Schizosaccharomyces pombe: one gene and its partner. The gene in region 1 interacts genetically with each later gene. Each region holds a gene or a part of one and is shown on either strand. Other genes may lie near its edges.

What was found.
Region 2: of pfh1 (region 1) and pxd1, a mutation in one rescues a mutant of the other (synthetic rescue), as found in Schizosaccharomyces pombe (one study listed by BioGRID).

Annotation. Positions count from the first base shown.
Region 1 is NC_003423.3:3,564,314-3,576,861, forward strand, and holds pfh1 (DNA repair and recombination protein), read right to left. Parts: upstream 6,164-12,548; 5' UTR 5,876-6,163; coding exon 4,621-5,875; exon of another isoform or gene 4,580-4,620; coding exon 3,417-4,579; 3' UTR 3,280-3,416; downstream 1-3,279. Other genes in the region: SPOM_SPBC887.12 (P-type ATPase), read left to right, coding at 1-1,350; cem1 (3-oxoacyl-[acyl-carrier-protein]-synthase condensing enzyme), read right to left, coding at 1,511-1,681, 1,728-2,516, 2,554-2,874; sphingosine hydroxylase/sphingolipid delta-4 desaturase Sur2, read right to left, coding at 7,067-7,948; SPOM_SPBC887.16 (uncharacterized protein), read left to right, coding at 10,608-10,937; SPOM_SPBC887.17 (transmembrane transporter), read left to right, coding at 11,719-12,548.
Region 2 is NC_003421.2:1,279,295-1,290,324, reverse strand, and holds pxd1 (protein Pdx1), read right to left. Parts: upstream 4,160-11,030; 5' UTR 3,976-4,159; coding exon 2,920-3,975; 3' UTR 2,794-2,919; downstream 1-2,793. Other genes in the region: trp1322 (TRP-like ion channel protein), read right to left, coding at 1-2,188; rpm1 (3' ssRNA-specific 3'-to-5' exonuclease), read right to left, coding at 4,290-7,163; DNA replication factor A subunit Ssb3, read left to right, coding at 7,961-8,107, 8,171-8,273, 8,375-8,439; pdr16 (sec14 family protein), read left to right, coding at 9,426-11,030.

The DNA of each region.
Region 1 (12,548 bases):
GACATGGGTTTAGTTATAGTGAACGAAGAAACGAAAGAGGCTACTGCTGAAAGCGTAATGGCTAAGTTATCTTCTATATATCGAAACGAAGCTACCACTGGAAATGTTGAATCAATGGCTTTGGTTATAGATGGGGTTTCACTTACTTATGCATTAGATTTTAGCCTAGAACGCCGATTCTTTGAACTGGCTTCTTTATGCCGTGCCGTGATATGTTGTCGTGTCTCACCTTTACAGAAGGCTTTGATCGTTAAGATGGTTAAAAGAAATACAGGTGAAGTGCTATTAGCTATTGGAGATGGCGCTAATGATGTGCCGATGATTCAAGCTGCCCATGTTGGGGTTGGAATCAGCGGTATGGAAGGGTTACAAGCAGTTCGAAGCTCTGATTTTTCAATTTCCCAATTTTGCTATTTAAAAAAATTGTTACTTGTTCACGGATCTTGGTGTTATCAGCGTCTCAGCAAACTTATTTTGTACTCGTTTTACAAAAACATTGCTCTCTACATGACTCAGTTTTGGTACGCTTTTTGCAATGCATTTTCCGGCCAGGTAATTTTTGAGTCTTGGTCTATTTCACTGTATAATGTGCTTTTTACTGTTCTTCCACCGGTGGTAATAGGTATATTTGATCAGTTTGTAAGCGCTGGTCAACTTTTTCAGTATCCGCAACTTTATCAATTAGGTCAAAGAAGTGAATTTTTTAACTTAAAAAGGTTTTGGTCTTGGATAACAAATGGGTTTTATCATTCACTTCTTCTATTTCTTTGTTCCATTGCTGTGTTTTACTATGATGGTCCTAATAAGGATGGTCTCGCGTCAGGTCATTGGGTGTGGGGTACTACACTTTACGCTGCAATACTAGCTACTGTTTTAGGTAAGGCTGCCTTAATTAGTAATCATTGGACTCAATACACTGTAATTGCTACCCTCGGATCTTTCTTGCTATGGATAGTGTTTATGCCCATTTATGCTGTTGCAGCACCCGCTATCGGATTTTCAAAGGAGTACTACGGAATAATTCCACATCTTTACGGGAATCTAAAATTTTGGGCTTCCCTACTTGTTTTGCCAACAATAGCACTGATGCGTGACTTTGTGTGGAAATATTCATCCAGAATGTATTATCCTGAGGAGTATCATTACGTTCAAGAAATTCAGAAATATAATGTCACAGACTATAGACCTCGTATTGTCGGGTTTCATAAAGCTATCAGGAAAATAAGACAGATGCAGAGAATGCGTAAACAGAGAGGGTATGCTTTTTCTCAAGGTGAAGAGGACCAGTCAAGGATTTTAGATGCATATGATACTACACATACTCGTGGAGCATACGGTGAAATGCGTTAGATACGTATTTTTCTCTATTATTTTATATTACATTCGCTTTTGGTTTCTAGATCTCAGATTTCGATGAGTTTTACGATGTTAAGTTGTTTTAGTTTATCACTCGTTTAGAATTATTATGTTATTCATCCTATTAATCGATTAACAAGACGTTTTTTCTGTATTACTGTAAGAATTTCTTAAAGCATAAAGACGCATTGGTACCACCAAATCCAAAGCTGTTTGACAAAGCAACATTAATGCGGCTCTCTTTAGCCACATTCGGCACATAATCGCACTGAAACTGCTGAGGAATATCAGAGTATTCGAAATTTAACGTAGGGGGTAAGACGCCCTATACAGTTTTGTTAGCAATAGAAAGTTTGAGTAGAATAAAATACCTTTTGGACAGTCAAGACCGTATAGACAGATTCGATTGCACCTGCTGCTCCTAAAAGATGGCCAATAGAGCCTTTGCTACTAGATACAGGAAATGCCTCAGGATTCCGGTTCACATCACAAAGTAACCTAGTAATCGCTATGCTTTCTGCTACATCTCCAAGCTTGGTTGAAGTTGCATGAGCATTGATATAATCCAATTGACTTGCAGAAAGACCAGCTTGTTTTAAGGAACGCTTCATAGCATAGTAAGCAGCATCCCCATTTGGATTTGGAGCTGTAATATGATATGAATCAGATGCCAAACCATAACCGACTATTTCAGCATATATATGAGCATTTCGATTTTTGGCATGCTCCAATTCCTCAAGGACTAAGGCAGCGGAGCCTTCTCCAATTACAAATCCATCACGATTTGCATCAAACGGTCTTGAGGCCGCTTTTGGATTATCGTTGAACTTGGTTGACAAGCTTCTTGCTTTTGAAAAACCAGCAACGGTTAGCGGATTAATACAGGATTCAGAACCACCGGCAATAATAACATCTGCATGTCCAAGCTTTATAAAATTGAAGGCATCTCCTATAGCATGACAACCTGCTGCACATGCTGTAGTTGTTGTGTGATTTAAGGCAGTAAAACCATATCTTTGTGAAATATACCCTGCTGGCATATTAATTAGTATTTTAGAAATGACCCTCGGTGAAACTTTTCTTATTCCAGCCTTATTTAATACACCGTTTTCATTTAAAGCATCGTCAAGATTTCCTATGCCAGTTCCAAAGCAAACTCCCTTTTTTGTTAGTATACAGTTTTCTGGATTCACATACCGTTGCTAGCTTTTCTTGTTCATCTATGTCAATCCACCTTGCATCTTTTAATGCTTCAGCTGCAGAAGTGAGAGCTAACTGGGTAAAAGTAGCTACTTCACGTAATTTCCCTTGGTCAACGTAGTCTAATACATTCCACTCTTCCTTTTCTTTTCCCCTTGGTATCACTCCAGCAACTTTGCTTGGTATTTGCTCATACTCAGGAAATCCTTTAAGAGATACGATACCTGATTTTCCTTGAATTAGATTTCGCCAATTGGTTTTAACTCCATTGCCTAGAGGGGTTACGGCCCCCAGTCCAGTTATTACCACACGTTTCATTTTTCTAGCATTACTTTGTGGAAATAATAATAGATTATCTGTCGTTTCTTTCGACAGGGTATTTGAGGCGAGAATTTAACAGTATATAAATCGATCAAAACTGTGTTTATGTTATCGATTTCAAAGTTCTGATTGAAAGTGGATTAAATGTTCAGTTTTTATGCATGGTCAAGGTGTGTTGGCTATTAAAGTTAAGAGACTGATTGAAGCGAGGTGCACCCTGTTCGTTTAATTACAGTTTATGCGATAGTTAAAGATTACTAGAAGGTGGCCTTGTAACAATTACTTCCTGTACATAATTAAACATCCTCAAGGAATACCGCTGTTATAGAAATGAATTAGCACCATAGGAAAAATAATAATAAATGTAAAGCTCAAATTTAATAAACAAAGAAGAAATTAAATATATGAATATATTATTAAAATTATTTCTATGAATAAAATTACCTAATTAGTCTAAAATCACTGTACACTTCAACCATATATATTCAGGCCGTTATGAATAAATCTTTAGTACATGGTAAACTCGTAAAAATTGATTTTTACTTATTTTTGACTCCCCTCATTTGAACTGGAGCCTTGTTTTCATTACGTATCGGCAAACCATTAACAGAAGCCAGTTGTTTATAGAATTGCACGACTTTGGGGTGTGCCATCACCTTCGCAGGCGAAAAATTAAGAACCTGGAGACCTTCTTGAGTAGTTGCACGAGATAAGGCAACATACGCTTGCCCTTTCTCAAAAACACGACCCAAATCAACCTTGACTCGATCCAAAGTCTGTCCTTGTGCCTTGTGAATAGATATCGCATAAGCCAAAATAAGAGGAATTTGGCTTCTAGAAGCTTGAACCTCACCATTGGGAAGCTCAATATTCCAAGTTTCCCGTTGTACAACAATTGTACGTTCACCTCCATTTGGAAGTTTAAAACGAACTAATGGCCATTTTATTGCCGTGGATGAAGCTTTACGCATTGCAATCAATTTATATTTCTTTTGCTTAACGTCTGGAAGATCAAAGGGTGAAATGTCTAAACTATCATATTCAAAAGCATTTCTTCCCTGCATTTCAGCATCCTTTTTTTCCATTTGATAGGTCTCATCATCTATGAAACCTATAACTTTTCCAAGAGATCCATTTACTAACTGATCATCTATATTCTTTATAAGCATTACCTGAGCATTTACCTTTAACACTAAAGTGGCAGGAGCCATGCACCCTTGCAGTAATCGGTCACGAAATTCTTTATCTCGAACAGTACCCGAGTCAATAGCGGTAAACGTGACAGGATTTTGATTAATTTGTTGCATACGCATATCGTTCGAACGCTCAACCTCATAACGTGTGGGAAATAACTCTGTCGGAAGAAGCCCATCTTCATATTCAATCGTTCTATTAAGAACTTTGAATTTTCTAACCGATTCATCAGATAATTTCCCGAGGCGCAATTCATTAAGCATTTTGACAAATTCCTCATCCTTTTGCCGAAAAACGTGAGTCAATCCTATTGTAAAATCAAGTGCGCTTTTCCATGTCTGAGATTCGAAACAGAATTTCGATTCTTTCCCATTTTCTGGAACAGGAGGTAACTGAAAAAAATCCCCAGTTAAAACCAACTGAATTCCACCAAATGGCTTACTATCTTTGCGAATAACACGCGCAACCTCTTCTAACTTGTCCATTAATTCAGCATCGACCATAGAAACTATAGTTATTAGTAAATATAAACTCACTTAAATTGTTTACCTTCATCAATGATCAAAACTCTGGTGCGCAACCAACGATTAACACACTTCTTATTTTTCTTTATTTTAGATACCAGGAGGTCGACAGATTCACGAGCAAGGCCTACCCCAGCAAAGGAGTGAAGTGTTACACCGCCGATATTACAGGCTGCCAAGCCTGTAGAAGCGGTAACAGCAACTCTGTCAGATTGCTTTCTATATTTAGATTTTAGGACTTCAATTATTTTTCGGAGGAGAACAGATTTACCTGTTCCAGCAGAGCCCGTAAAAAATATACTGTGTTGTTGCTCAACAACCATGTCTAAAATTCTTTTTTGCTCATCGGAAAGGAATATGCTAGGGACAGATTTTTTACGAGAATCACTTGTCTTAAACAAAGAAGATCCTATTGGCGATTTGGAAGCAGAGTTTAAAGGAACAGAAAATTTTTTAGATATCTGTGGGGTAGACTTAGATTTACTCATGCGTTTTTTAGCCAGACTATCCAAAGAACTGCTTCGTCCATTGCTAAGCTTATTTGAAGAATCATTAGATACAGTGTGTTGACTGATATCAGCTGAAGTGCTGGTTCTTTTAGGATCAGGATCTCCATATCTGTAAGGATCCACTGCCCAAGGAAGGGTTCGTGAGCGTTTTATTCCCTGCCTCGTAATATTACTAGATATTACGCTACTTGCGCCTTTTTCAGAAGTATGGTCTTCGTAAATTTTTGAGAGATGATTTTTTGACCGCTTTTCGCTCGAGAGCATTGATTTAGTTAACTTAGTATGCTCGATAGGGGATGAAGACCAAGGAATTGGTTTTTGGTCAATATCGTTTTCTAAAAGTAGATCATCATCAAAGTCATTTTCATCAATATAGACGCCATTCGCTATTTCAGTGGAGTATTTACTACCCAAGCCAGAATTTTCAAAAACGGGCAGTGAGGGTTTCGAAACATCGAATCCCACGGTGTTATCAAGTTGTTTTAAGCTAGCAGCAGAACGACCTCTTTTGGCTGGTAGGGTTATTGGAGATGACGGAAGGTTATCAGACTGGCTAGAAAATGTTTGCTGATCATCATTAGTAGAGGAGCGAGAGGAATTGAAGTTTAAAGAAGCGGACGAAAAACCGCCCAATTTGTTCAAGGAGGGTTGATGCGATGACTCGTTTTGTGTATGAAGCAAGCTGCTTTTCTGCTGAGCTCTTTGAAACATGACGGGGATACGTTTCCTAAAAGAGTGACTAAATTTATAAAGAGATTGGCACGAAAACATTCATCGAATTACTTCAAGAAACTGGAAGGCGATCTGTACGCAGGTTGTCTAAAAAAAGAAACCGTAAACGAAATAGATCACCCAAAATTGTTTGATCGAAGAAAAGCAACAAGAAAACAATTTCAGTTTGAATTTAAACAACAATCTGCTACTGACTTATGCGACCTCGACCTAACACCTATGATAAGCGGTCCAAGCACATAAGAGTTGGAAGTATCCCTTTGTTGATTGTATTAATTGGGATACCGGTTGAAGAAATTTGTCAATGTCGAGGAAACGGCTGTTGACAAGGAGGTACAGAAATGAAAGCGCTATACTAATAAAAATCAAATTTACGGTGGTAGTGGACGAGACAAATGAAAGCGCGTATGTCAAGACGCGTCACGTCTGTCACCACCAGGCACGTGTTTTTTACTTCACAACTTTTGCACAAATTTTTTATCATTCAATACTGTAATTATCATAAAGTCCTTTTTACATTAGTCGTTCCTTAAGTATAACTTGCATAATTTGCTTTCGGGGCCTATGCAATGCAATGCAAATAAATTGACTTTTGTTATAATATGTTACAATCGAAGCAAATATTAACCCGTGTTTACAGTAAGTTATTAATTTTATAATATTTGATAAAACGCGTCTACGATACCATATCCTCGGAAGTCTGTAAATAATAAATGCTATCAATTAATAAATTATATACTGTATGTAGACTAAAACAATCAATACTAAGTCGAAAATTCAATAATGAGCGACAAACGATTTAAATTCGTTGACCAACCAACTTTGGTAAAGATACACAAAAACATGCATCTTTAGGTAAGTATCGTGTTCTTCAGCAGTCCGTGTCAAACATCCCGTTTTAAAGAGACTTTAGAAGTGGAAAATAACATAAAAATACAAGGTTACGGTTATCACAAATACCTAGAGTCATAGGAGGGATAACTTCAACAGTAAGGATTGCCAATCGATTTGTACTACCGACAAATTTAAAAGGAAGAACAATTAGATTAATAAAATTTCAAAAAAAATGAAAATAGCAAACAAAGAAACTAGAAAGAATGAGAAAAAATTAATAGTAAACATTTATAACTCAATATAAAAAAAACAGTATATTGGATTCAGCAGAAGTACTAAGGATAAGAAAGATTCAAAAAATGCAAATATCACAGAGCACATGTACTTTTGTAATTTCTAGTTAACCTTCTTTGCATTCTTAGCCTTTTGCTTTTTCTCGTAAGGAGTTTCAGACTTGGGAGGCATGTAAGTTCCCAAAACGTGGTCCCAGAAGGTAAAGAAGGGCTGGCTAAAGTTCTTTTGGAAACCGTAAGGTTGGTGATGAAGGTCATGGTAACGAGCATTATTGGCAAAGAACATTTGAAGAGGGTCATAAGGGAATACGTATCCACAGTGATCATCAACAGTCTTCAAGGTAGAAAGGGTGAAGAAAATAACAGCTTGTTGAGGAGAAAGACCGGCGGCGAGATAAGCAACACCAGCGCCAAAAGTGTCCAAAATCAAACCTTCAAAGGGATGGTTGTAAAGGGCACCCATAGCATAGGGAACTTGGAGACGATGGTGATGGGCATGAATCATGTTGTAGAGCTTCTTGTTGTAGTGGAGGTAACGGTGCCAGAAGTATTGCCAGCTGTCAATGATGAAGAAAGCAAAGAAGTATTGGAATGCGGGAACAATAAAGTTATAAGCCAATTTAGGGGCAAAGGGAGCAACTTGTAACAAAGCAGGCAAATTCTTGCTGAAGAAAGCCTCGTAGCGTAACATTTGCTTAGCCTCGTCAATGGGTTCAGGATAGCCCTCGAACATGGCCAATGCGATTCCAACGACGACTTCGCAAAGTTGTTGGAAAAGCACGGCTTTAACAACAGCCATCTGAGGAACACGGTTGCGTCTGGCTATCTCCTCCGGAGGATGAATGCGATACTTCTCAAAGACAGGTAATTCAATGTAATGCAAAAATCCGAAGAAAGCAGAAGCAACCCAGTAAATGATGACAGGAGAAACCAAGGAAACGGTCACTGGGTTCCAGGTAGTTAACATTTCAACGGTGGTAACCATAGTGGCAAGAAAAATTCAAATTCGAAAATATAGCAAAAAGTTAAGTGAAAGTGTAAGAAAAGAGAGAAGCTGATTAGTTATATATATGCGAATATATATCTATGTGTCTAGACTGAAGAAAGAAAACAGTTGGTACAATATATACAAATCACAAACGGCAAGAAATGTGATTTATACAAACAATTGAAAAACGATGAAACCAATAAGGAACCTTTTAAAACAACAAGTAATAAAAAGGATATTTAAACGAAACAAACCTCTTTATTTGTTCGATTTTCAATAATTTGTCTTTGGGAAAAACAAACTATCAAACACAACGATTGTGGCGGAGGTTCGGTGAGCTAGTTTGCGATGGTGACAATTTATATAATGCAAAGCAAAGTTTAAGGTACAAGCTTTGCGCGGCTGTCTTTGTCGATTTACCGATTTAAGCAGCGAGATGTAGTTAATTTTTAAGAAACGGAACTTTCGCCAACGAAAAAATCCGAAATTGATCAGTATGGACCAACAAAATTAAATTGATAAATTATATCGATCTGTCTCAAGGGAGAAGGGAAGGCGAGAACAAAAGTAATAACCGTCGGTGTTTTTAGACACAAATGGAATTACAGATAAATTAGAAACTTGCAAGTTTTCAAGTTTGAACACTAAAAGATGTCAAAAAATTGAGACGTATTGTATTCGGCAATAACAAGACCTTGTTATTTTAACAACCAAAAACTAAGTGCCTACAATAATTTGCAATTGAAACTATTACAAGAAGGGATTAAAGATTAAGCTAGATTGCTTGACCCTAAAGTTGTGAAAGACTTTTTGAAAAGTAGAGGAATTGGATGTTTTTGAACTGCGGAATGCAGGTTAAAACTGCGATATATATATTTTGCTGGTGTTCTTGAAAACACGAGATTTTTTTACAAATCGTATCATCTCATTGTAGGCAAAATCTGATGTTTTTTTTTTGCTGGTAACATGTGATGTAGCGGATCTAAACTACACTACACTATATTAGAGCGGGAAGCAAATATATCTCGCTATAATTGTTAGGGACTAAAAAATGTGGCTACAAGTCGTAGCATTCAACGGAAGCTTTTTGTTACTTTTTACTCCCTTTGATACTGGGATTTTTTTAAACTATCGGAAGGGTTAAAGTTGTACATTCCGCTGAACACAGATAGTAAAAAAAATCGTTTGACAAAAAAAAAAAAATTTGTTTTCCGTTTTTTGTTTGGAATCCGTCTAGGTCGTTAGTAATTTAACAATTTCAGCGAAAGACAGCAATTGAATGGGTTTTAATTTTCGGTACAAAGAGAATTGACTTTTTATGAAGCGACTACGAAGGACACTTGATATTGCTATTTTCAACAAAAAATAACATAATGTCGATAATTAAACTACCACGGCTTGTAAATAGAAAATAGCACTGAAGCGACCTGTGAAATTGTCAGCGTGCTATTGCTAAACAATGATTCCGTGTAATTTTATATGATTGTGCTTTCATAACAGATGTGCATGCGTAGAAAGAAAAGCTATAAACAATCAACATAGAATACCATTCACACTAGGAGTAGCATACCTTAAACTCATAGGATCCAATGAATTAACTTGCAAATCCATTTAATAGTTAGATTGACTGATTTGTACCAAATTGGTAAAATGCCGGTCCCCATCCCCTCTAAAAAAAGGACTCTTTTATTTACCGGGATGCCATTGACATCTCTTCTGTTTTGCATGTTTTGGAATTGAAAATGCAATAATAAAAAGGAATCAATAATTTTGGATTCCTGTCTAATAATTGACGGTTTTGTTATCTTGGTTGAAAAATCCATCCCAGCTGCCTAAAAGCTGCTACAACCTTTGTTTAATTAGTGCGACACAGTTAAAAATACTATATGTTTCGTAATACAGTGGATGATTTCCATTAAACTTTTGACTAGATCAGCAGCGATTTTTAAAGTACATTATACCTTAGCCGGCTAAAAACATATGGATTTGGAAAAACTACTAATGAATGTATTAAGAGTGAACATTACAGTCGGGTGCTTTGCAGTACAAATATCCTGGTAGCTGCATTAAGAAAAAGATATAGTAAAGCTGTTAGTACAAAAAAAAAAGTAGTAAATAATAATATAATAAAATAACGCTTGATAGTCTTTTAAGAATTTCATTTTTCGAATACCGCCTTGTGAATTATGCGTAGTTTACTTGTATCTATATCGTTTCAAATTTTCATACTTCAAGGATTTCCCTAAATGAATTCTTGAATCCCCCACTGAAGTCTTTTTATCCCACTTTAATTTCATACCACAGTTAAAATCATTTGCTAACCTTCTATAGCATATAAACTTATGTACCCCCAGTAAGGTCTTTTTCCCCACTTTAACTTTTAGTATTAGCTGCACCTACCAGCATATGTCCCCCACATGTGTTTTTCTTTTTACTATGAAGGTTCAATAATGGGGGTATTCAAGTCAAAATAATCTTGTATCTGTACCGTCAGAGAAAACTCACCAAACGAACGAGCACAAGTATTAAATCTATAATCACTTACCTTAATGATTTCGTTTACTTTAATTATCTTATAATTGCATGAATTTTGATAAGCGATTGCAAAAACGAACAAATGTGATATAAATATGTTTGTATAGGTGATATCTTAAACATGGCTCGGACCAATTTACAATATCCTTACAAAGTCCTGTGGTGTGCTCAAGTTAAAGTCGTTAAAACGGGTTTAATTAATTTTTTTGCTCCTAGCATTCAGCGTCAACGTGAGAGAGTATGTGAGGGTTATCTACATGAAACCCCCCTGTTACTAATGCAAGTAGTAGAAAGAGAAGCAATAACTTTAGCAAAGACAGAATTCAAAAATAGTTTTAGTAATCTTCATTTTTTCTTTCTTTTTTGGCTGCTTAATTTCATTTTATTTTTCAGAATACATTTGTATTCTTGCAATTTTCGCATGTCGATTATTTGTGAAGAATACTACTAATGTTATCATTGTTACTTTTAAGAATTTTTTATATCTTTGGAGTAGGTTATTGGCAGTGGAATTTTGAGTTTATCTCATTTTTTGAAGTAGCGAAATTGACGCAGTATCTGATAGCACAGCTATTGGCTGTTAAATATAAGCGCCCAAATTTGACTAGTATTTAACAGTCCTTGGGTCCATCAGCGACACTTTGCATTTTTTACAAACTTTTTTCTAAACACCAATTTCTATTTCTTTGCAGTAATAAAGAGGTCCTGGACTGAAAACTCACTGTTGTACTTAATTAGGTGTAGGTTTGCATCCAGTTGATAAGGATTATAAAGTTTTTTCAATCTTCACGTTGAGATCGAGATTCATCGCTTAGCAGAAAATTTTTAGATTAGTGGTAGGTCGAAAAGGTTCTGGATTTTAGAAAACGGCTTTGATCAAACAACTTTAAAGATTAGATTGCTTTTATCTCGATCTTTGTTTACAATTTCATCAAAAGTTTTTTAAATTGCTTTTACTGTTTTTGAGGTTTGGAAGCAAAATCGGTTTCTTTCCTTGTGGGTTTTGGGATTTCTCTAATATTTGTATCTTTAATAAGTAATCTATTTTTGTGAAAAGGGCTTTTTGCTTAGCATTAACACGGATCTTTCCGTTGATTTGTTGTGTTTTATTTATCCTCGGCAGGTTATTTGGATACCTAGTGTAATATATATACATATATTATAAGTATTCTCGTTTTTATTGTTTTAATATTTCAATCCTCTTTTCTTTTTTTCCTTAGTTTATCGAGAAGATGAGCATCACACAAAAAGTAAGGAATTGGGTCGAAGAGTTCGACGTGATCGTCGCTCGTTCGGCATTCGGACGTTGGTTTCGTCTAGAGGGATGTGGTCATCCTCGGGAGCGTAAAGGCAGTCGCTTTTCTCTCGAAATTAGTGCTGGTCTTACTACCTTTTTTGCAATGGCTTACATTTTGGCTGTCAATGCTACCATTCTCGTAGATACGGGCGGCACTTGCGAATGTACTGAAGCTAATCGTGATGATTGTGACAAACTTGATGACTATGTACTTTGCAAAGAAGACTTTCATCGTGATCTCGTCACAGCCACCGCTGCCATTTCTGCTCTCGCTTCTTTCTGCATGGGTCTTTTTGCCAATATGCCCGTGGGTATGGCCCCTGGTATGGGTTTAAATGCTTATTTTGCGTACCAAGTTGTCGGATATAATGGCACTGGACGTGTTTCCTATCGAGAAGCTCTTTTAGCTGTTTTTGTTGAAGGATTCATCTTTACTGGTTTAACTGTTATAGGTCTACGCCAATGGCTGGCGCGAGTTATTCCTGCCTCTTTGAAATTTGCTACTGGTGCTGGTATTGGTTTGTATCTCACAATTATCGGACTCAGTCCAAGTGCTGGGTTAGGAGTCATTGGGCATTCCTCATCTGATATTGTCGCTTTAGGAGGATGCCCTCCAGAATACCTAAACGCTGATTATAGCTGCAACGGTCATCAATTACAATCAGGAAGAATGTGGGTAGGTATATTCTGTGGCGGTGTTCTCACTGCTATTTTAATGATGTACAAATTTAAAGGTGCTGTCCTTGCTGGAATCGCACTTGTCAC
Region 2 (11,030 bases), on another chromosome or scaffold:
AGTCTAATTGTAAAGCACGTAGTTGATCCATGTCCCGTTTACGAACAGATGACTTTGGTTTAGGTGGACGGTAAAATGAATATCCTTGTGATGTGCTGTATGGAGAACTGGGAGTAACAGGAGAATCCAACATTAGACTACTTGAAGATGCTGTATTGTTCTTAGAAGGGACAAGACTCGACGCTTGCGTAACTGGAGGAATACAGTTAGTCTGAACGAATAATTTTGGCGGAGCAGCCTCGCCATCCTTCTTAAGGGAATTAGAACAAACGGAGACTGGCGTAAGTGGCACTGACATTTCATTTGAGTTGTAGGTAGAATGATCAAACATCATTGTGTTGCCATTGGAATATGGATCCTTAAGACGCCGGCGTCTCAATTCATTAATACCAAATACCCTGGCCCAACCAAATGGTCGATCGAGTGGGACACCTTTACTCTCACTTTTAGCACCTAATAACCGTGCACTGACTTCCATAAATCGTTGAGTTGACAGAAGTAAGAAAAGGATACAAACCATTATGTGAATAAACAAAATTGCATAGGCCAGTAAATCTCTACTAATGCCAAGAACCTTTAATCGAGGATCTAAGGGAATCATTAGAATAACCGTGATCAAGCGCATGGTAGAGATGAAGGTGTTTAACGTATTCATACTCGTCTGCGGGAAATGTGGTCGCACATAAGCATACGCCACGACATTAGCAACTTCAAGTATAAAGAATATGGCTAATTGTGCAGAGCCGGAACTTCCTATGACACCAACCGTAATACCACGCATAAATTGTACGGCAATTGGAAAGATCCAAAACATAACTCTCTCTTCTCGAAACGAATTGTATATAGAGCCAAATAAATGCAAATATGTTTGATCTTCAAGAAGTTTGGACGATGGTTCAACAAAAGCGAGATTCATATATAAATACACCGGAATAAAGATTCCAAAAAAGATAAACCACAAAACGGGGATAATTTCATAACCTGTGGGCGGTGCGACAAACTGGAATGACATATAAGCGACGGTAGGGAAATATGTCAAGAAGTAAAGACGTATCAGAGAACCAGCAATGAAGCTCCAAGTATCCCACCGAGTTTCGGCAATAGTTTCATTGAAAATTCTAGACATAAGCCATTTCAAAAAAATAACCAACAATGCTACAAATAACGCAGCAAATAAGTAAATAACCATGACTATAAGAAACGGAAGCCAGCATGCAGTACCTATTCCTATAGAATCGAGAAACGAATACATGCCATATGACTTAGGCAAATAATCCGCATAACTAGAGGATGCTACAGACAAGTCGGCAAAGTCTGCAAATTGATATTCAGCAGGCTCGGAGAAAATGGGAAATCGAAATAGAGCAGTGCCCCAAGAAAGAGCAGCCATAATATTTATGTAAAATTTTGGAAACATAACACTAACCTGAGCTGTAGAAACAGCAAATTGCAAGTATTGCACAAAATCAAAAAATCCAAGGGATGTTAAACGAAGAGCATCAGGGTCCATATTAAAATTAAAAATCGACTTAAATGGATCTAAACTGCCGGTCCATGGATTTAAAAAAAGAGCATAAATAATGGAAAACGAGACATATGCGAGCGACACAACAACCAAATATGAAATAACTGGATAAAAATAATACAAAGTTGTGGACAAACCAAACTTCATACAAGTTATTACATTTTTCTCGGGAGTACCGTCAACAACGATTACTCGCGTTGTTAATGTAGTCAATTCGTATTTTGAGTAATCGGACAAGGTGGATTTAAAGGGAACTTTAACCATGAAAGCGGCACTTCCAGCTGCCCAAGGACATTTTATGGGGACTTCAAAAGAATGAGGATCCATAACAACATCACAAAGCTTTGTGGTATTGGATGTGACCAGTTTTCCTAACGCATAAGTTTCCGAATAAACTGAAGCAGCGTGAATATGTGAGCCATTTCCACCCACAATCGTTATAACTCCGGATAAATTCCCCACTACTTGAATGTAGTACATCCGATTCACTTCATCAAAATTCTTGATAACTGCATATGGGCTAAAGGTAGGAATACCTGCTCTCGGTACAAAGTTTGAACAAGTCTCAAAATAATCCAAACTTGGGGATCCATTCACTGCTGAAAGAAGGCTGTAAAAAACGATATGAAGAAAGAGGAAAACAGAGTACGGGCGAGGCTTCATTATTATCCAAACACAAACATTCTAATAAATTTTAATATAAATAGATCCAACCTTGAATTCTTTTGATTCTCTATGAAACGAAATTTGAAAAAGACTTTAACTGCTCAGGGTTGGTAATTTGAGCAATTACAAATGCAGTTATTTAGAAAGAAAAGAAGGTTTCAAAAAATGAATGCTTTGTAAGATATAAGTAGGCCAGAGACGCGAAACACATAAATTGCTATTTCTCGTGTGTGTAGTTAATGACAAACACATGCTCTCGCGTTCCTTGTCCTAGTATTAGATAATAAAGATTAACTACGCAGCACGTTAGTGAAATTTTATGAAAAATTTCCGGCTCGTTAAATAAATAACATAATAATATACTATTTCGTTATTTTCCAAAGACAAATCTGCTCAAGAAAAGGTCCTAACATTAGCGCTTTATATGCATATATTATAAACCATACAGCGCTATTGAGATATAAAAAAAAACAAATAAGACAAGAAGAACTCAGTAACGTTCTCAAAGACGTTTAAAACTCGAGTCATAAAGTCCCTTCTGCTTTGGTCCTTCAAAATTAAGACAAGCTATCTACTCGTTATTTTTAGTTCTAACTTATCACATAAATATATACATTTAAAATTATTGAAATAATATTCTTGACTTGTTAGATATATAACGTACATTAAATCATCATTACGGGACCAGCTCGCCAAAAGTTTGCTATACTTAGTCTAACATAAATATTTCACTTTTCAAAATTTACGTTTCTTTCCTGAAGCCACGAGTGCAGAGTGTCCAAAGATACATAAACACCGTGCTTTAAAAGTATTTCGAGAAGGTCGTTTGAGGAAATACGTAGGGCATTTGAATTTTTCCATAAATAATGATACAACTTTTTTCCACCAGGGCTTCGAAAGAACGTTGAAATATTAGAAGAACACATTACTTGAGGAACCAGGAGATTATCAGCAACTTTCTTTTCATCGTGTTCGCAATTAACTATCGGATCGGACTCAAGGGTGGTAAAAGACTCTTCTCCAGAATCAGAGGTTGGAAATACCGACATACCAAAACAAGAACCAGCTTGTTCAATATCATAGCGATTATCATCATCGATACGGGTGCATACTCCTCTCAACATGTTTAACTCCCCACTTATCGAAGGTACTTGTTGGGACAATAAGTCACCCTCATTTCCAATTAGGTAATAGACATTAGTTCTAAATGATGATATCCATAAGTAAGGCGTAATTTGACAACCGATATTGCTGTGGTGGAACCCAGGTTCGACATTCATGAGTTCATCAGACAGAGGAAACTTTGGCTTATGCCTTTTAGCAATAGAAATAGCAATTTCTGGATGAACAACTTTGGACTTAAATTGTCTCTTACTAACACGAACTCTAGAATCTTCTGAAACAGAAGCCGTCATAAGTAACGGCTTTTTCTTGGGAATGGTATGGCCAAAGCTTAATGGGGTCAAGCTTTCTGAATGCAATTGATCAACGGAATTATTTTTTTCTTCAAAATATTTGGTAACTCTTGATGTAATACTGTTATAAGAAACCTTCGATTTAGAAGAACGAATGTGTGGTTTCTCAACTTTAGTAAAGTCATGAATATTAGCATTATCCTTTTTCAGGAAAGAATGCAGCGTTTTCTGTCGCGGTGCTGCATGGACTTTCATCTGGTATCGAAACCGCTGAACCTTCTCTGCAAAACTTTGCGCAGCATCATTTTCTTCAACATTAACGTCGTTTAAATTTAAAGAGGGTGCTGTTTCACCTTTAGATTCAATCATTTTTCTTAACTTAGATTTTAAACAACGCAGCACACTTCGTCGATGGATTTATAAGCATCCAAAGACATTTGCTTCTTGTCTTACAAAAAATAGAAAAAGAAAATATATTTTAATCACAAGAGTCAAGGTTAACAAAGAGACTTCATAGTAAAACTACCTGTTGGTTTTTGAGATGAGTTTTGGCGAAACAGGTTACTATCAAATCCCAAAACATAATTTATTTATATCGTTAAGTCTCGGTAAATTGATAAAATGCAGGATTGAGTATTTAATTAAGTAAAATTATATCCATAAAAATAGTTTTAATAAGTTTGTTAGGTCGCTAAAGCAACTAATAGGATATTAGACTCCGGAAAGACATCCTTAATTGTAAATGCCTGGCGAGTATTTGCTAACCGGAATGCTTCGTCCGGGAGAATATCAATATGCGCTTTAACACCCAATTCTTCCAACATGACCTGAGGTGTTGAAAGTTCTGAAACCATTAAATATCCATGATAAATATTTTTTTGTACCTTTGGAAGTCTCTCTATATATTTTAAGGCCCAGAAACGATTAATGTATCTTCCTATAGTTTTAATTGATTTTTCTTTTTGGTTGTACAAATTTAGTTTTCCACGAAGAATACCATCAGGTATAGTATTTTTTGGAGTCTTTAATAATACCGACTGAATCTGATGATGAGTGAAGAAGTCGGTAAACCGGCGTAAAGGAGAGGTAGACTGAATATAGCCATCCTTTAGCCCCAAAGAAAAGTGGGAAACAGGTGTGGAGGCTAAATGTGAACTTTCAAATAAAGGCATTACAGAAAGTGAATACTTAGTTTCAACGAGTCCCCAAGATGACCTGTTACTTAACAAAGTTTCAAACGCTTTTCTTCGTACACCATCCATAATTGGATAAGGCTGGCCCCTAAAAATCCCAGGTAATTTATGTTCTTGAAAAAATAATGATGAAACCCGGCCAGCCAATATCATGCACTCTGATATTACTGATTCTGCCAAGCTATACCCTTCACTAACGTTCAAACTAATTGTAGGGAAGGAAGACCAGTATACTGGATGATTCAGATCACCAAGATTATAAGGGACATTATTAGGCAGCAATTCAACTGTCGGAGTGGGTTGTGCAATAACAAACGCAAACTTTTGTAACCTAGAAAAACAGGCTTGTTTCGAAAGTTCATATATTCTTAATATATCTTTCATGTGATCATTTGATACTCCTTTTGTTTCCTCATCCACTGGTCCAGAAACGATGTCTTTCGCAATTGATCGATTACTATGCAAAGCTTTATCCAGTTGTTGGGGTGTGTATTTGATAACTGAGGAAATGAAGCTAGGCCGAACCTTGTAATCAAGTATATCGCCATTTTTTGAAATTTTAGCACTAAAAGTTAATGCTCTTTGAGCTGTAGAAGATGAATCTAAACTCCAATATTTCTGAGTGATATTGAGAGGTAGCATATACACAATTTTGTTGGGATGATAAATAGTTTGAAAGTTCCTTTCAGCAAACGTGCCTAAAGGACTGCGAATGTCAACTGTACTCGTAGGATTAGCAACATGGATATGAAGCCAGGAATTAGACATCCCTAATTCTTCAACCGAAATCGCATCATCTATCTCTTTCGTAGAAGAACTATCAAAGGCGAACGCTTTAAGATGCCTTAAATCGACGCGTTGCGATTCAAGTGAATCTTTTAATTCATTTTTTACAAACTTTTTAAAGTGATTACACTCACGTTCATACACAGCATCTAACTGAGGATTAGTACCAAGGCCAGCAATGCTGTATTCCTGTTGAAACAACCTCGGGGGCTGCCATGAAGCCCACACGCCAATATCCGTTAAGAATTTAGCAAACTGATCACTAGTTAATCCCCTCTCGTGAGTTTGAAGGCCAACTTCTTTGTAAACCTGACACAAGTGTGTATTTGGTAAACTTTGAATACTTTTTGCAATCATTTCCTGAACAAGATACCGCAATAGTTTTTTTTCAAATTCAGTCCAAGTGACCTGTGAATAAACTACGGGTTTTATTTCTTCGGTGCTTATAGGTAACTTATATTTATCTCGGGAAACTTGAATTAAATGACGAGCTTTCTTTATAAACGAAAGATATGGTGTTGATTTCTGACGCAGGCATGCAACAACGTCGTCAAAAGAATCATTTTGTGAAGAGGGAAGGAAATAGACTTTTTGAATTTCGGAAAATATGTGATCGCTTATTAAAAAATGTTTGCTTTCTGTAAGCAAAAAGTGTAACAATGAGATTTTAGCATATGGGCTAGGCTTCGAAGTTTTGTACACAAATTTCAAAAGGTCTGAAAAAGAAGCTGAATTGTCAAGTTTATTTGGAATATTGAATTCTGTCAATATTCGCAAAAATTCATTTCGGTGACTTCGACTTAAATCTTGTGCTCTTTGAGAGATTTTTTTTAATAACTTTATAGTGAAAGGTAGGACATCAGAAGGAACAGAAACATCAGAAAGAGGTTGCTGCACCTCTTTCAGCTTTTTAAAGACATTAGGACATCTCAGTAAAACTCTAGATGTACGAAATTCCTTAATAGTACCGTTTTCGTTAATGCTGGTCAATACATTACTATAGTTCCAAACATTAGTACCAGTGCATGCAGCAAGTTCAATGCCTTCGGAGCCCCTATAAAACACTAGCAAATCTCCACGATCGTACTGTCTAAAATTCTCACTGCTGAAATCTTCTAAATCAAAAGAATACTCAAAATCATTTTCCAACTTCTCTTCCTCAGATTTTGTAGTAGTAGGACAAACAGCAGCGCGTTTGTCCTTCTCGAACTTGTCTTTCAACCACTGTCTAATGTTTCCATGATTTTCTAATTCAGAGAAAAATTTTTTAAGGTTTTCCTCATTCACGGATTTCAAATTAGCATTTTTAAATCGATCAATAAGATCTGATTGAGTATGCTTCAAACGCGCACCACAATGTCCCCAAAGATGATGATCGTTTGCTGGTTGTTTCCCGAAATTTATTAGGCATCCAGTTATGCGGAAATATTTCAAAACTTTTGAACTGGAAGGGCAAGCATGATGAAATTTCCTTGTAAGTTTACAAGGAGACAATTTTAAAGACAGGCATACACGTTTTAATAAATAATTAGACTCTAAATTAACATTTTGAAGAAGAAACAATTGCCTATAGTTCATGGGCAAAAACCCTATAATTAGTAACACCAAAAATAGTGTTGATGGTAAATTCGACTAGAGAGCTGAACCAGAGCACTTTTAGGTACTAGCAAGTATTAAGGTAACAAGCTCTGCAAATGTAAATGAAGAGTGGTTTAATAACTAATGTAACAGAAGAAAGATTTCAATATGAGTATGGAGTTTTTTGATTTTTTTTTTTTTGAATTGAATGGTCGAGGGGATGGGCGACTTCAAAGTGAAATACATGAAATCACAACCTCAAGGTAAAACTAATTGAAAAATTATATCATTAAAAGAAGGCTGCTTTCCATCAATTACATTTACTTTTAATTATTGAAGCTTCTGGTCTACGCCTAAGCAATTTACTAATAGTGGTATTGGAAAAGAGAGAAAATTAAGAGTCGCCGACGATTTCAAAAATAGTATAAAATACCATGAAATCTTTCCATAATGTTATTTAAATCACTATATGTAAGACGTATTTATATTGGTCTTTAACCCGTTTATTTACAACATTTCAACCAATTAATAAGTAGTGAAATTAACGCAGAAGGATACAAGGAGATTTTTTTATGAATAATTCTTATAAAAAATAGAACAGTAATGTATCAACGTTAGCCCCCAGCGTTTATATTTACGCTTTTGCTTTTTTATTTACATCCCAGCGCCTTCCAACATATAATACATAACGTACTGCGTTCCAATATTTTAAATAATTCGTGTCAACAAGTAGTTAACTACCTGGTCTGATACATACTTCACTTCCACCACTTTATAAACAACGCGTATAAAATAATATGGAACGCCCTACACCTCGAGTTACGAAAGATATGCTACCAGAATGCTCTGGAAAAACGGTTCGGATTGTTGGCAAGGCGAATCAAGTTGAAGGTGAAACTGCAAAAGTCGATTCCAACGGTTCTTTCGATATGCACCTCACTGTGGTACGTTTTATCTATTTTACAATCGGTTTTCAGAGTTTTTTTATTTTATCTAACTAATTTTAGGATAACACTCTTGAACCCAATCATTTCTATGAATTTGTCGTTTCTGTCAAACCAGATTCTTCGGTGCAGCTTTTAACCTGTGTTGATTTTGGCACTGATATTGGTAAGTTGTGTTTATAAAAATAATAAGGAAGTCCTTTGAACTTCTGCTTCTGCTAAGTCCTACATTCTATTGACCGATTAACTAATTTCCTGTTCCTTTAGATATGGAGGTATACCAGAAACTCGTTCTATTCAGTCATAAGTATAACTCACTTTTTTTTGAATAAGAAACATTTTATGGATCATACAACACAGATTTCTCTTTCATTTCTCATGCACAGTACAAATAAACATGGAAGAATAAACGCGCAGAATCTTGCTTCCTTCTTTTGGTTTTTGCATATTTTATTGCATTTCTAAACTCAAGCTTTTCTTTTATAATGATTCTTCCTTTTGGCTAATACAAATATGAATTTTACTATCGTTTATTTCACTTTTTTTGATTCTTGTTTGAGTATTTTTATATAACGTTCTCCTTTTTTCGCACTATCTTATTTAGTGTATCCTTGAGATGCTCATCGCGGACGATTCGGCTCCGAAGACGGTACATACCGGTGTTTCTTACGTTTGCTCATCCTTCAGTCACCCTGCCATTGTAACAATCCAACTACCATATATATACAAAGCGAGCAACGCAAGTATATCTAGTGGTACTACGCTGAATATCGCTTATTCCTAAAGAAAATTGGTTGTTTTGAGAATTATTATATTACTTTTTCCTTTACAAACTTTTTTGCTAAAACTGTTGTTTAGCAGTTATTGAGATTGTTAGAGAAATAACGTTAGAAAACGTGCATATGCAGAAGTTGGATTGTTTCGGAATTGCTCCGATTGAAATACTCTAAATATATCTGACATTTGTTCTTTGCATTTCTGTCTGCGCCTTATCTTTAGAGATCAGACACGTTTCTTTGAATATAATCTAACTTGCTTGCATGTTAAATTGGTCGAAACAGAGATAAAAGATATCCTGGAATTCATGGTAAACCATCGAGATCTCTTACTAAAAATAGAGAAAAAAGAAAAGAGTTAAGTATTTCGAACCCTATAGTAATTTAAGTCTTGGGAAAATACCTTTTTTCATTTAATTCCATTATTTCTAATTTCCTTTGATATTTCTTCTTTTACGGTGAAAAGAATACCCTTTGCAATCTAAACTGTTAATAGTTTATTCAAAACCAACATTCGTTAATTTTATCGATACAAAACCACGATGAAAGATTCGGAACATCACCATCATGGCCACAACGGCTTTAGTAAGTTTCTCCATAAACTTGGTTTTGGCAAGTCAAAAGGAAAATCGCATAAAAGCAATACCAGCAGTATTCATGAAAGAGAAAATACTGCTGCCAAAGGACCCGCCTCTAATGTGCGTCCTGCTCGCCCTAATGTTAGCACATCTTCCACTTCGAACGAGGTCAGAAAATCTGTACCTGTTGGTAATCCTACTGTACATACCAAAACAGGGTCTTCTTCATCTCCTGCCTCAAAGATGAGAAATACAGTCAACTTGCAGCATATTCAAGCAGCTAACCAAAAAACTCGTAATGCTGAAGGTGAAAGAAAGGTCGCTCAACGCAGGGTCCAATCTGATAAAGCTGAAGCTAATGATGCAGCCATGAGTAGTTCAGCTCCAACGGTAGATGTTTCCGAAGGTAATTCTGCCGCTGAACCAAAAATTACACCCGATGATTCAGATACACCCAGACTTAATGTAGATATGAATGATAAAATAAATGTCGATGAAGCTGCTGCTAAATCTGATAGCAAACTTAATGTCGATCAGATTAATTCTACTACGGAATCTGAAAAAAGAGTTGAGAAAGTTAATCCAAATATTGCGAATAATCCGCTAAAATCACCGGATGCAGTAGCATATAGCAGTGAGACGGTTTCTGATGAAAAACAACCTACTGAGCATCCTGTATCTGCTAATGTCCCTGCAAAATCTGAAAAAGCTGTTTGTGATGAAAATACCAAAATTTCGCTTACAAACACAGAGCATTACAAGTTTCATTCACTTCGCGGAGACGTTGAAGTTGTTGTTGGTGATTTGGAACGTGACGGAAGAGATACCTCTTTAGGCGATGCTTCGGTAAATGAAGCCGCTAAAGAAACTGACGTCGACTCTAGTCGTTTTATTTCAGATGAAAAAGCCGTGACTGAGGATGCGATGAAAACTGAACATGCCTCCAATGCCCCTCTCACTGATGAAAGGCATTTTCAGTTCCATTCTTCTGAAGGAGACATTGAAGGAATCGTTGGGACAATGCAGCGCCAAAGACAATCTGTCTCTTCGTATGACACTATCGTTCCTAGCCAATTCTATAAACAGAAGGTGGTGCAAAATAGCCCCCCAAGCTTGTTGAGCACTGATAACAAAATTCCAGAATCCGGCTCAGATCATCCCTCAAGTCAAGATAATTCCAGTAAAGCATCCTTGGTAGAAAACTCTCAGACACAATCATCTACTCCGAGAAAGCCGTTGCCAACTACCACTAGTCCTAAAGTAAATCCGGAACCGCATAGCGAAAGTATATCTGACACACGACCTTCTACTCCTAGAAAAGTGCCACCAAGTACAGTTCCTAAAATGAACCCGAAGCTCCAGGGTGGCAATAGCGTTACAGCCCCTTCCACCCCTAGTAAAGTGTTGCCAGCGATGAGTCCCAAGGTGGCTCCCAAATTCCAAGGTGGACGCAGCAGTACAGCGCCCTCTACTCCTAATAAGGTATTACCAGCAGCATCTGCTAAAGCTGCTCCAAAGCTTCAAGAAAAAGCTGCATCATTTGACATTCCTAATAAATCTACTATTATC